2 linked regions of the Anolis sagrei genome follow. The protein of the gene in region 1 purifies or fractionates together with the protein of each later gene. This does not show direct contact. Links are inferred from orthologs where the notes say so. Each region holds a gene or a part of one and is shown in the gene's direction. Other genes may lie near its edges.

Evidence for each region.
Region 2: the proteins of CD19 (region 1) and CD81 purify together in Homo sapiens (affinity purification with western blotting, with the first as the bait; 3 studies listed by BioGRID). This does not show direct contact. The link is inferred for Anolis sagrei from reciprocal best matches to the Homo sapiens genes CD19 and CD81.

What each region holds. Positions count from the first base shown.
Region 1 is NC_090026.1:22,848,778-22,855,837, forward strand, and holds the start of CD19 (B-lymphocyte antigen CD19), read left to right. Parts: upstream 1-3,954; 5' UTR 3,955-4,097; coding exon 4,098-4,197; intron 4,198-6,766; coding exon 6,767-7,015; intron 7,016-7,060. UniProt on the Homo sapiens protein: Functions as a coreceptor for the B-cell antigen receptor complex (BCR) on B-lymphocytes. Decreases the threshold for activation of downstream signaling pathways and for triggering B-cell responses to antigens.
Region 2 is NC_090021.1:245,345,324-245,352,495, forward strand, and holds the start of CD81 (CD81 antigen), read left to right. Parts: upstream 1-4,125; 5' UTR 4,126-4,330; coding exon 4,331-4,396; intron 4,397-7,172. UniProt on the Homo sapiens protein: Structural component of specialized membrane microdomains known as tetraspanin-enriched microdomains (TERMs), which act as platforms for receptor clustering and signaling.

The sequences.
Region 1 (7,060 bases):
ATGGCAACCTTGAAGTGACTGGCTTGACTCTGAAGGAGCTGGGGGTGGTGATGGCTGATGGGGATCTCTGGCATGGGCTGGTCCATGAGGTCACGAAGAGTCGGAAGCAACTGAATGAATAAACAACAACATATGGCATTGTAGACTAATATAGTCCAGCTCAAATCATATAATCTGGATGTTATCTGACAGTGTAGATGGGGCCTCACTATTTTGCTTCTGGCAGCAGAGGAATTACTTCCTAATTTAGTTGCTGAGTGTTATGTATTTAAATGTTCGAACCGGAAAAGGCAGCTTCAGGGTTTTTTTTTTTTTTTTTGGTTTTTTTTGGCAAAGGTTAGGAATCAGGAAATATTTCATTTCTGTAAGTCACATGATGGTTCTAGTTCCAGATAGTTGCTTAAATAAGAGGTCATCCTCCTTTGTGTCAGGCTAATGGTTAAACAAGAACAGCATAAAATGGGCTCTCGGCCCTGGTGATTTCTCTCTCTCTCTTTCCCCCCAGCAACCTTGTTTATTACATAACTGTGATAGAAATCATGCTACAATTTTAGGCTATGTCCAGTGCAGATTGGCATGTCAAATAATTTGCAGAGAAGAGGAATGTTATAGAAAAGAACATCTTGAACCAACAAAAGAGAGCTTTAAGATTTAGTATGACTACATAGGATGAGGAAACTGGCTCCTTCCCATACCTAGATTTCCCCTTCAAACACACCCTTTTTGGTTTTCGCTTTCGCTTCCCAGATGGTTTTTCCCCTAGCGGGAACTTGTGATTGGAAATCATTCCTGCAGAGACAAAAACAACAGAGAATATGAGACGGGAAGATTCAACTCAGCTGATGAGAGAGTTCAGCTTCCTTCTCCACTTGCCTATACATGTTACGCTCCACTTTAACAAATGGATGCATAAGTATGCAGCTACTTATTATCCAGAAGTGTGGAACAATCAAGCCAAGCCTCAACTTTTTCCATTCAATGTCTACTTTCAATCTCATCTGCTGACTATTAGAGCGGTGCACACATATCCATTTGTTCCATGCTGTAAAAGTATGTTCGGTAGTTGCAAATCCCCAGGGTCATTTGTTCATTTGATGATGATTTTGGACAAAGAGACTAACAGTGAAGGCATTGGTTTTATAGGTTTTTAAAGCTTTATTGTTTGTATTTTATAACTCTGTTTGAAATGTTATTTTAAGTGTTTATTGTTAAGGTATCAAATGGCTGCCTGATTGTAAACCGCCTTAAGTCACCTTCAGGTTTGAGAAAGGCAGGATAGAAATATCATAAATAAATAAACAACAGATATGCTTGTGATAATATAATAATAGTAAATAATAAACTCGGAGCGGCTTACATGAGGCCAGGCTCAAACAACAAATACAACAGAGTAAAACCGAAAACACAAATGTGAACAATAAACAACAAAATCTTATTTACATAAAGCATGTGAATACATAACAATATAAAATTACAGTAAGCACAAACACAGTGACAATGGCCGGGCTACATGTAATGATTAAAAGAAAAACTAATTAAGAACTAATTAACAACTCGGGCAAGATAAAAGAGAAGCAGGTTATAATGTAATGGTCCTGCATAATGTAATGGTCCTCTAGCCCAGTATCTCCTATTTACAGAGATTGGAAAAGTTTCTTCATCCTGTTTCCTGGCTACAGCTCCTAGAATGCCTTCGGGTGCATCTCCCGGGTAGAATTAAGACAATATCCCAATGTTTCTTGTAAAAGTCGCTGCCCATGGCAAGAGCTCACAGGAAACACAAAATGGCATCCTGTAGTTGCAGGTCTGCAAAATAAACCCATCAATGCACTCTCAAAGACATGAACTGCCTGAGAAAATTTATTTGGGGCTGCTACTTCCCCATTATCATGGGGTTGTTGTTGTGAAAGGACCAAGGCAGTGACATCTCCAGCTCATCCCTTGTTTGGGTATCAGCCAGCACGTCAACGAAATAAATCAAGAAATAGTTTTCTAAGATCTACAAAGACACTCGCTGGAACACCTCAGCAAGTGAGAGTCCAAAAGTGGCAGGCTCCAACCCAGAACCTCAACCAATGGCTGATACCAAATGAGAGACTCCTCTGGGCACACAGAAAACTGGGTGACGTGGAAGGCACTGAACAGACTGCACTCTGGCACCACAAGATGCAGAGCCAATCTTAAGAAACGGGGCTACAAAGTGGAATCCATGACATGCAAGTGTGGAGAAGAGCAAACTACAGACCACCTGCTGCAATGCGATCTGAGCCCTGCTACATGCACAATGGAGGACCTTCTTGCGGCAACACCAGAGGCACTCAAAGTGGCCAGATACTGGTCAAACGACATTTAATCAACTACCAAGCTTGCTAATTTTGTGTTTTGTCTGTTTGTTTGGTTTGTTCTGTTAGAAATGTAATACAATTATCTGGTTGCCCCTGACACGATAAATAAATAAATCATGGGGTTTTTGAAAGACCATCCAGATAGCACCTATAGTGCATGCCCTCCTGCGTTTTTGCCTGGAGCATCCAAACTACGACTCTGGGAAAAACTAATGCTTTTGGAACAAAGCAGGAAAACCCTGCTTTGTTCCGAAATAATTTGTCAGCCGGAAAGACCCGGGTCTTTCAGAAGACTCGGGTCTTTGCAGCTATGGGCGCTGTGTAGCTGGGACTGGGGATAGCACCGCATGACCTCCAGTGTCCATTTAATAATAATATATATAAACATGTGTACCAGACAGTTAAATGAGTTAAATCCATTATGATTTAAAATATCATGATGTGTTCTTTATTCTTATTTTTTCTCTGCAGGTGCAGAACATCCTGAGAATATAGGAATTTACACATCTGTCTCCTGCAGCCCGAGAAACCTGAGATATCCCCCCCCCCCCCCACAGGAAAGCCTTTTAAACAAAAAATAACTTACCCGGCTGCCATTCCCCCTTCTCCGGAGCTCTCCTGGGGTGTAGAAATGATGAGCCAGTAGAGGTGGGAAGGAGAAAAATTACTTCTGCCCTTCCTCCCTTTCTCCTGGCATGTCATTTCTATGCACCAGGAGATCCCCGGAGAATCGGGAATGGCGGCTGAGTAAGTTATTTTCCATTTTAAAGGCTTTTGGGTGGGGGTGGGGGGTTGTTAGTGACTTGGTGCCCTGCTAGAGAGTCCGGCAAGGCATCTGGACACCCACCCAGAAAAGCACAGATGTTGTGGGGAGGTTCTGGACTTCAACCTAGGCGCAATCATGTTTAAGAAATATGATTGCTCCCAGGTTTAAGGTCTTGTCTGGAACTGCTTCAGGGAATGCGGTCTGTGACACAAACCAAACAAGAAAAGGCCCAGGCTTCCGTAAGAGCTTCTAAAGAAGGAAGCTTCACCTGCTCTTCCTGTTCAAATGTAATGTTTTGTAACTTTTACTTGCGATTTGGTTATACTGTAACCTGTGTCAAATGAAGAAATGATGGTATATAAATCGCAGAAGGACATTTCCATGCATAGTTATGTATAAGTCGAGGACATTTGGTGGAGAGGGGAAAACACCAATGATGCCTCAAGATGCCAGCTGAGCCTGCTCTATTCTGGCATCCAAAAGGGCCAGAAAGACACCATGACAAAGAGAGTAGAGGAATTGGTCCTTCTTTTAGGTCTCTTGGGATGAGATAAACTCTTGCCTTTCACCACTCTACTCAGAAATAGTTCTTTTTTATTATAAGAGTTAAGATACAGTACTTGTATTGACTCATGGATAAATTGGCCCAGTTTTTTGAGTTGATTTCACGACTAAAATTACTAGACTTATACATGAGTATATAAGAAATAAACTTAGCAGGGACAATCTTGCAAAAGAAAAAAGAAAAGTAAGAAGTTCAGTTCTCATTTTCTTTGAGCTTACATCAGTTTAGCTGCAGTTCCCCTACCCTTCCTCCCTTGGGTCTTCTGTTCAGGCCTCAAGGGAACATGATGGGAAGTATGGTCACGCGCCAAAGAGGCTCTTCTTCTGCTAAAACAGCAAGTAGTTGAGAGACCGCCCTTCTGAGGCTGCCTGGGCCTCACTGTGCCCGGCTGGCATGCAGTGGAGCTGCTTGAAAGGAGGCCATGGTATCTGTTCTGCCTTACCTGCTTCTGCTCTGGCTGGGTTGTGGCGGAACAGCCAGCAATGAGCAGGAGATGCCAATGCAAGTTGTTGAAGCAACAGGTGGGTCGATGGAGATGGTGGAATGACATGGGTTTCTGCTATGAAGGGGGAGGCAGTATCAGTAAAGTGGACGTGTTGCTGTATAATGAAAGATTCACTAGTATGCTGCTCTGTTTTAGCGAGCCTGATGAACTCCATTTTGATAAAGGCTGACGTTTCCTCATGAATTGCATTGTTTATTGGGCCCTGTCATTTCTGCTATGCTAGAAATGCTGTAAGGTAAAGCTAAAGCTAAAGGTTTTCCCCTGACATTAAGTCCAGTCGTGTCAGACTTTGGGGGTTGGTGCTCATCTCCATTTCTAAGTCGAAGAGCCAGCATTGTCTGTAGACACCTCCAAGGCCATGACTGCATGGAGCACCATTACCTTCCTGCAGGAGCAGTACCTATTGATCTCCTCATATTTGCATGTTTTCAAACTGCTAGGATGGCAGAAGCTGGGGCTAACAGCGGGAGCTCATGCCACTCCCCGGATTCGAACCTGCGACCTTTTGGTTAGCAAGGTCAGCAGCTCAGCGGTTTAACCCACTATGCCATTGGGGGCTTCGAAATGCTGTAACTGCAAAAAAAAAAAATTGCATAGCACCAATAACAGGTCTCAAAGACCAGAAGTTATAGTTATATACAGTGTCAGATACTGAGAACATCCTCTTAATTAACAACCAAGCTCTGACTACATTCTGAGCTCGGCATACAGACCTCAGATCAGGATGACCACATATGCATTAGATATTCCTCATGCATACTTTGTGTTTGTCAGTGTAATTCTGTAGTTCTATAAAATACTGATGCTTGGAATAAACTCTTATCTCAAACAGTGCTGTGAGTAGATTGGACTGAAAGCAGTGCTGGGACTTGAAGATCCTTTGGCCAAAGTTATTGTTTGTTGGGTTTTTTTCTCCTTCCTGCTCCTTCTAGCTCTATGTTCCACATGGGACTTATAGAAGGATGTATACCCAAGAGAATCAGGAACAGAGTGCCTTTGAGCATGTTCAGAATGGTTCCCTCTTATTGTGGTCAGCTTCCAAGTATCTGGGATTACAAGCAAACAGGTTTCTTGCTCAGAAAGCTTTGTTTATAGTTGAAAAGTTGTAATAGCTGAATTTCCTTAGTGTTTACTCCCTACTCCATTTTTCCTCTTTTATTCTGGCATGTCTTTGAGACTAGAAACCTGTGTCATTTGTAATCTTTTTAACCTAAACAATTAGTAGGAACAATCATAGACATTTTTCAAGAAGGTCTGAGATAAAAAAAAAATATTATTGAAGCTAATGTTAGTTAGGGGCGGTTGCAGTATGCCAACCTAACAGTTCAAAAACATGCAAATGTGAGTAGGTACTGCTCCAGCAGGAAGGTAATGGTGCTCCATGCTGTCATGCTGGTCACATGACCTTGGAGATGTCTATGGACAACGGCAGATTTTTGGCTTAGAAATGGAGATGAGCACCACCCCCCAGAGTAAGACACAACTGGACTTAATGTCTGGGGAAAACCTTTACCTTTACCTAATGGTAAAGGTCTTTGTCTTTGCCAGCAAAGACAAATACCAGGATGGAATCACCTTATACAAATATCATTGGTTTAAAGGTATTCTCCATTGTAATTCTGGGTCAGATATAGAGGAAAGAACGGGCAAAATCACTCTTGAGTGTTCCTTTCCTAAGAAAACCTTACAAAAGCCATGAGATCACCATAAGTTAACAAGCAACTTGAAGGCACATACACCAAGAATATCCTCATCATAGAGCCTGTAAAAAAGTTAATTTTGGACTACGACTCCCAAGATTCCCCAGCCAACATGGCCATTGGTTGTGTTGAATCAGGAACCTTGAAACTCTAATTAAATTTTTTAATGACGTGGAATTAAAAGTGTTTCTTTGCCCCCATTGTCAGAGGTGATTGGCACCAGATGATTTGAAACTCCCACCCTAGAGTTTAACATGCTAACTTACAATCTTTCTAGTTTCTCAAACTTTTTAAAAAATAGCTAGGTAGTGAGGGAGGAATTATTTCTTCATCTAATCCAGGGGTGTCAAACCATTTTCATCAAGAGCCACATCAGCCTTGTGGTTGCCTTCAAAGGGCTGTTGAATCCATGGAAAGTGAATCCATGGATACAGAGGACCAACTAAACTTTTTGTTTTACATGTTGTCAAAGTTTTTTTAAATTTTTTATCCAGTTTGGTTCCTCAGATATTATTGAACAACAACTCCCATCACTTTTGATTATCCACCATGTGGACGGGGAAAATGGGGATTGCAATTCAACTGCACTCGTGGCTCTGAGGTTGGGGGAAGGTTAAAGGACATTTTAACATCAAACATCATATCCACAAGCCTTGTATCTAAATTCAAACCTCACTCTCCTGATAAGACAAGACAAACTGCAGCCTTCCAGATGTTATGGTGTCATAACTCCCATCAGCTTTAGTCATGATGTTGAATGATGAGAAATCCAATTGCAGTCCAGCATTTGGAGGGCAAGATGACATGACATGGCAAGCTGGATTGTAACTTAGGGCCTTGAGAAAATTTACACTGAAAATCTGACTTTTTTGTCTCATATCCCAGAGTCTGATACAGTAATTCTGCCCTGCCCTTTTGATCCTGCACTGACCTCGGATTATCTGGATTTGACTTGGTTCAGTCCGTCTGGGGACCTGCTGTTGTACACATATGTTCAATACCTTCAGTCAGGCGCAAGACTAGGTGACATGTGGGGACTGTTGCTCTACAACATCTCCAGGCAAGATGATGTTTGGTTCACTTGTCAGTGGAATGGCACCTTGGGAACAAACCACACACTCCCAAACGGGACTGGTAAGTATTCTCATTGTTCAAAGTGCAGTTAACCTGGTGGGGTTT
Region 2 (7,172 bases), on another chromosome or scaffold:
GCTTCCAAACAGTGCCAGATCATGAGATTTCTGAAGCCAGTTCCACACAGCTGAATAAAATCCCACATTTTCAGCTTTGAACTGGCATATATGGCAGTGTGCAGTCAGATAACCCAGTTCAAAACAGATATTGTGGGTTATTCTGCCTTGATATTCTGGGTTATATGGCTGTGTGAAGGGCCCTGGGAGAAACATGGGGAGGGAAGGAAGGACTTTATTGTATGAATCTACTATTCCGCCACATTGAAAGTGGATACATACAAGGTTGAGCACCTTTGATATCACACCTCCCTTCGGTAGTGCGATTGTGCTGATTCACCAATTCATGGTCCTACAATCACACTTTCACACATCCTCATACCTCCATCTACCGGCTCTACTGCTGCTCCTTATTTTTTTATACTAATTTTTATTTTTATGCAGCATTGGGGAAAAAAAGCAAAAGAGAGAGAGAGAGAACACAAAACAAGAACAAGCCTTGGGATAGTGAGAGGGAGGGAGAAGGAGAATCCCGCTGCCTGATCTTACTTTACAGGAGTGGTTCTCAACCTTCCGAATGCCGCAAACCCTTAATACAGTTCCTCATGTTGCGGTGACCCCCAACCATAAAATTATTTTCGTTGCTACTTCATAACTGTAATTTTACTAGTTATGAATCATCATGTAAATATCTGATATGCAGGATATTTTTTATTTATTAGACCAAATTTGGCACAAATACCCGAATATTTGAATACTGGTGGGGTTGGGGGAGGGGATTGATTTTGTTATTTGTAAGTTTTAGTTGCTGGGATTTATAGGTCACTTACAATCAAAGTGCATTCTAAACCCTACCAATGATAGAATTGAGGCAAACTTCCCACAAAGAACCCCAATGACCAACAGAAAATACAGTGTTTTCTGGTGGTCTTTGACAACCCCTCTGACACCCCCTCACAACCCCCAAGTTGAGAAATGCTGATTTACAACATACTGATACAGAAATGGAAGAGACCATTGCAGCAATGTGACGGAAGCAACTGGTGAGTTTGAGAGAATCAAGAAGGAGGCAGATCAACCCTGGGATGCATTGTGGGTAAAAAGGTTTCCCCTGACATTAAGTCCAGTCGTGTCCGAGAGGTCATGAGTTCAAAGTCAGCCCAGGTTGGAGTAAGCTCTCGACCATTAATAGTCTAGCTTGCTGTTGACCTATGTAGCCTGAATGACAGTTGCATCTGTCACTTTAGCTAACTAATTTAACTAATTTACAATGCCATAAAACCTTCCAGCAGTGTGCGTAAGGATGAGGAAATAGTCCATCAAAGAACCCGGTGTCACAAGCGGCAGCTCCCCCTGTGGCTGGAACCAAGCATATTCTCACGAAGCCGGAAAACCTGGAATGTTAAATGGCCTCTATGTCTGTCTATATATGTTGAATGTCTAAATGGCATTGAATGTTTGCCATGTATCTGTGCATTGTAATCCGCCCTGAGTCCCCTGCGGGGTGAGAAGGGCGGAATACAAATACTACAAATAAACAAATAAATAAATAAATAAAATTAGTCTCCCCGCATAAGGTAAAGTTTTCCCCTGACATTAAGTTCAGTCATGTCCGACTCTGGGGTGTGGTGCTCCTCTCCATTTCTAAACCGAAGAGCCGGCATTGTCCGTAGACACCTCCAAGGTCATGTGGTCGGCATGATTGGAATGCTGTTACCTTCCCACATATGCGGTACCTATTCATCTACTCACATTCACATTTTCCAACTGCTAGGTTGCCAGAAGTTGGGGCTAACAGGGGAGCTCATGCCACTCCCCGGATCTGAACCTGCAACTTTTCAGTTAGCAAATTCAGCAGCTCAGCAGTTTAACCCACTGTGCCACAGGTGGCTCCCCTCCCCTAAATTTCCTACTTGACAGATGCAACTGTCTTTCGGGCTGCATAGGTCAATAGCAGACTGCATTTCTAGGTGCAAAGATGACTGCAGACACAGACTGCAGCCAGGAAATGAGGAGACACTTACTTCTTGGGAGGAAAGCAATGACCAATCTTGATAAAATAGTGAAGAGTAGAGACATCACACTGGCAACGAAGATCCAATTAGTCAAAGCAATGGTATTCCCCGTAGTCACCTACGGATGTGAGAGCTGCATCATAGGGAAGGTTGAGCGATGGAAGATTGATGAGTTTGAACTGTGGTGCTGGAGGAAAATTCTGAGAGTGCCTTGGACCGCCAGAAGATCCAACCAGTCCATACTTCAGGAAATAAAGCCCAACTGCTCATTGGAGGGAAGGATAGTAGAGGCCAAGATGAAGTACTTTGGCCACATCATGAGAAGACAGGAAAGCTTAGAGAAGACAATGATGCTGGGGGAAATGGAGGGAAAAGGGACCAACCAAGGGCAAGATGGATGGCCAACAGGGAGCTCTGGCGTGGGCTGGTCCATGAGGTCATGAAGAGTCAGAAGCGACTGAACAAATAAACAACTATTGTTTTTACCAGAGGGTACTGTGAATTTATGATGTTGATTGTTTATTGTCTACTTGTATGTTTTGTTTTGCACTTGTTGTATTTTGCATTTCACACTTTGAGTGTTTTGTAAGCCGCCCTGGGAGATGGTGGCGGGAAAGATGATGACGATGATGATGTATGTACAAAATTTGGGGTTGGGGGGGAAGATAGACACTTTTGAACTGTGGTGCTGGAGGAAAATTCTGAGTGCTTTGGACCGTGAGAAGATCCAACCAGTCCATACTTCAGGAAATAAAGCCCGACTGCTCACTGGAGGGAAGGATAGTAGAGGCCAAGATGAAGTACTTTGGCCACACCATGAGACGACAGGAAAGCTTGGAGAAGACAAAGATGCTGGGGGAAATGGAAGGAAACAGGAAGAGAGGCTGACCAAGAGTAAGATGGATGGATGGTATCCTTGAAGTGACTGGCTTGACTCTGAAGGAGCTGAAGGAGCTGGGGGTGGTGGCGGCCAAAAGGTAGCTCTGGTGTGGGTTGGTCCATGGGGTCACGAAGAGTTGGAAGCGACTGAACAAATAAACAACAAAATTGTGTTTATATCTGGGTGATAGTATGATAGCTGGGCCCGGAAGCTCCGAGCGTTACGCATATTCTGCAACGGCGGTTGTGAATAAGGGAAAGGGAGAGCGCCATACTGAGGGCAGGAATATACTTCGTAGTTTGGTGGAAGGATATAAAGAAGGGGAGTGTTAGGATAAAGTTTCGGACAGTGGTCCTCAACCTTGGGTCCCCAGATGTTTTGGTCTTCAACTTCCAGAAACCCCAACAGCTGGTAAACTGGTTGGGGTTTCTGGGAGTTGTAGGCCAAAAACATCCGGGGACCCCAGGTTGAGAACCACTGGTTTAGGATAAGGTTTAGGGTTTGGGGTAGGATTAGGGTTAGGATTAGAGTTAGAATTAGGCTTCGGGGTTAGATTTAGGTTTAGGGTTAAGGGTTAGGGTTTTACCATTAAAGAATTCTTATAATTCTATAATATCTGTGTTCCGTTCTGTGTTGCGCAAACAGCACTCCTGAAGGGGCAAAGCGGAAAGAGCGTAAGGCTCAGAGCTTCCAAACCCAGCTTTCATACTATTACCTATATTTGTTTATACCCCAGTGCTGGGGGTGGTGACGGCCGACAGGGAGCTCTGGCGTGGCTGGTCCATGAGTTCACAAAGAGTCGGAAGTGACTGAATGAAGAAACAACAGGTCAACAGCAAGCTAGACTATGGATGGTCGGGAGCTCACTCCGACCCCGGCCGGCTTCCAACTCGGTCAGTAGTGACTTAATGCCTCTGGCTACTAACTAGCTGCGCCACAGCTCCCACGATTCCACAGCAGGCAGCCATGGCAGTGTGGAAGCGCATGAATGTGGCAGCGCAGAGGCTTTGCAACCCCGGGGAAAGGATGCTCAGAGTGTGCCGGCCTTGCACCCACTGCGGCTTCTTTATAGGAGCCGAGGCAGTGCGGGTGTAAGGGAAGGGCGAGGGGTGGGGGGAGCAAGACTGGGATCGAGGCTGGGTCTGGGCGGCCTGTAGGAGGAGGCAAGGCGCTTCTGCCTGCCTGCCTGCTTGCCTGCCTGCGCGGCGGTGGGAGGGGGGCGCGGGGCTCGAGGGGCGGGGAAAGCGCGGGCCAAAAGCGAGGCGAGCGGGGCGAGCGAGCTCTGTAAGACCCGCGAAGGAGAAGCAGCAGCAGCCGCCGCCGCAGCCAGCCTACCCGCCCGCCCTCCGTCTCGTTGCAAGGCGCTGCCGCCTCTGCTCCTCCTCCTCCTCCTCCTTCTTCTCCTTCTCCTCCTCCTCGGAGCCCACCAGGCCGAAGCCCCTCTCCGCCCGCAGCCATGGGAGTCGAAGGCTGTACCAAGTGCATCAAATACCTCCTCTTCGTCTTCAATTTCGTCTTCTGGGTGAGTCGCCTCTCCTTCCTCTCGCTTGGAGATGGATGCCGATCACAAGAAGCAGCAGCATTGTGATTGCCTGCCTCGTCTCCCTCCCTCCCCCCCCCCTTTCCAGGCCAAAACAAAGCGGTAGATTTCGGGGTCTTTTCCTCCACATCAAGGGAAGGAGAAAGGGGGAGGATCGCCTGCTTGCCTTCCCCCCTTTTCCACCCGAAGGAGGCTGGGGATCCATGCTCAAAGCAGCAGCCAGCCTTGCTTGCGTTGGGGGAATTGCGACTTGTTGGGCTCGGGGAGTTGTGCCTAGGGAGTGCATCTGCACTGTAGAATTAATGCACTTTGGTCCACTTTTAACTGCCCCAGCACAATACTATGGGTTACTGTGGTTCCCAGTTTGAGGGGGCACCAGCCCTCTTGGGCAGAGGAAGCCAAAGGCCTTGCGAAACTGCATCTGCATTGTAGAATTAATGCAGTTTGATCCCACTTTTTCCTGCCCCGGCTCAATACTATTGGGTACTGTGGTTCCCAGTTTGAGGAGGCACCAGCCCTCTTGGCAGAGGAAGCGAAAGGCCTTGTGACACTACATCTACAATGTAGAATTAATGCAGTTGGATCCCACTTTTAACTGCCCTGGCTCAATCCTATGGGATTCTGGGTGTTGTAGTTTGGGGAGCCACCAGCACTCTTTGGCAGAAAAGGCTAAACGTCTTGTGAAACTGCAACTCCCATGATTCCATAGCATTGAGCCATGGCAGTTGAAGTGGTGTCGAACTGCCTTGATTCTCCAGTGTAGATGCACCCTGGGTCTCTGTGAGCCCATTCTATAACAACAGCAACCTCAAGAAACAGGGAGGAGCCTGGGTTTAACTGCAAGGTAGACCCTCTTCTCTCCCCTCCCTCCAGATCATAATAACATTTTTAAAGCAGTGTTTCTCAACCTTCCTAATGCCACGACCCCTTAATCCAGTTCCTCATGTTGTGGCAACCCTCCAACCAGAAAATCATTTTTGTTGCTGCTTCGTAACTGTCTTTTTGCTACTGTTGTGAACTGTAATGTAAATATCTGATATGAGGGATGTATTTCCATTCACTGGACTAAATTTGGCACAAATACCCAATAAGCCCAAATTTGAATACTGGTGGGGTTGGGAGGGGGGATTGATTTTGTCATTTGGGAGTTGAAGTTGCTGGGATTTATAGTTCATGTACAATCAAACAGCATTCTGAACTCCACCAACAATGGCATTGAACCAAAAATGTATACAACCTTAACAGAAGGAACAATTTCTATATAGGTTGAGCATCCCTTGTCTGGAATTCCAAAATCCTCCAAAACTGTCTACATGAGAGAGCAGCACCTTGGCTTTCTGATGTCTCAATACACACACGTTTTGTTTCATGCTTCAGGCTATGTCTGTAAGGTGTATGTGAAACATACACTAATTTTGTGTTTGGACTTGGATCCCATCTCCAAAGTATCTCATGGAGTACGTATATGCAAGTAAAGAAACTCCGAAATCCATGGAAATGTGAAAGCCAAAATAATTTGTTGACGGGTATGTTCAATAAGAAATACAACCTGTAGAGAAGTGTCACAAGAGAAAGTATACATAAAGCAGGCAGTTCTTTGCTCTGCAGGGACCACAATCTCAGCACCTTAAATAAAATCAGAATTTAAGATGAGGTTTGTAACTAATTGAATCATTATTACAGTATTTATTCTTCAATTTAAATGTATTCACAGATAACCATCAATGGCTACAAATAACTGGGTTGTTGTGAGTTTTCCAGGCTGAATGGCCATGTTCCAGAAGCATTCTCTCCTGACGTTTCACCTGCATTTATGGCAGGCATCCTTGGGGGTTGTGAGACCTCACAACCCCTGAGGATGCCTGCCATAGATGTAGGGGAAACGTCAGGAGAGAATGCTTCTGGAACATGGCCATTCAGCCAGGAAAACTCACAACAACCCAGTGATTCCTGCCATGAAAGCCTTTGACGACACACTACAAATAACTGTTTAAGAGTGAATACATTTTTGGGACACGATTTCTTCCTCCAAACAATCATTTAATTTTAAAATGGGAAGAGAAGGAAAAATACAAAGTGAAAGTTTTGCTTGAGTCTGAATCTGTTCTGTTTCCACTTTCAAGTTAAGGGAAAGGATTGTAGCCGTGGAAACAAAAGTTTCTTTTGCTTCTTAACACAGAAGTTTAACTGATCTTAGATGGAGATACATGCTGTGATAAAGGAACATATTTAAATGTTCAAAATTATGCACTAGAGGGAGATTTTATTTTTCTGTCTGGTAAACAACTTTTTTTAAGAGTCGTGTTTGGTATGTTGGGTTTTTTTGATTTGGATGGAAATTTTGGTATTTTTCAAAGTTGTTCAAGATTTTTTTAAAAACAACAATAAGCAAATTGATGAAAAATTAATCTTGAACTGTATATTTTTTTCCTGTTAATGAATGCTGAAGAGTTCTGTGGTTCATAGCCCGAGAACAGAGACAGCTTGGGGGGGGGGGGGGGGAGGGAGGGTGTTTGTGGGTGTGGAAGAAGCAACTAAAAATATTTGTGAGAAGTAAGGATGTTTTAAAATGGATGACTCTTGCAGTGCCTTTTCAGGCAGCCTCTCATGATCTCATCTTTCCTTCTTGCTTGGAGATTTTTGCACCAGCCACGCCCCGGGTCTCAGAAGAACTTCAGCTTGAGTTCCTGTGGCTTTGAGCTGAAAAGGAATTTGGATCTTGCAAAATAATATCAGGGAAACCTTGGAAGCCAAGTTG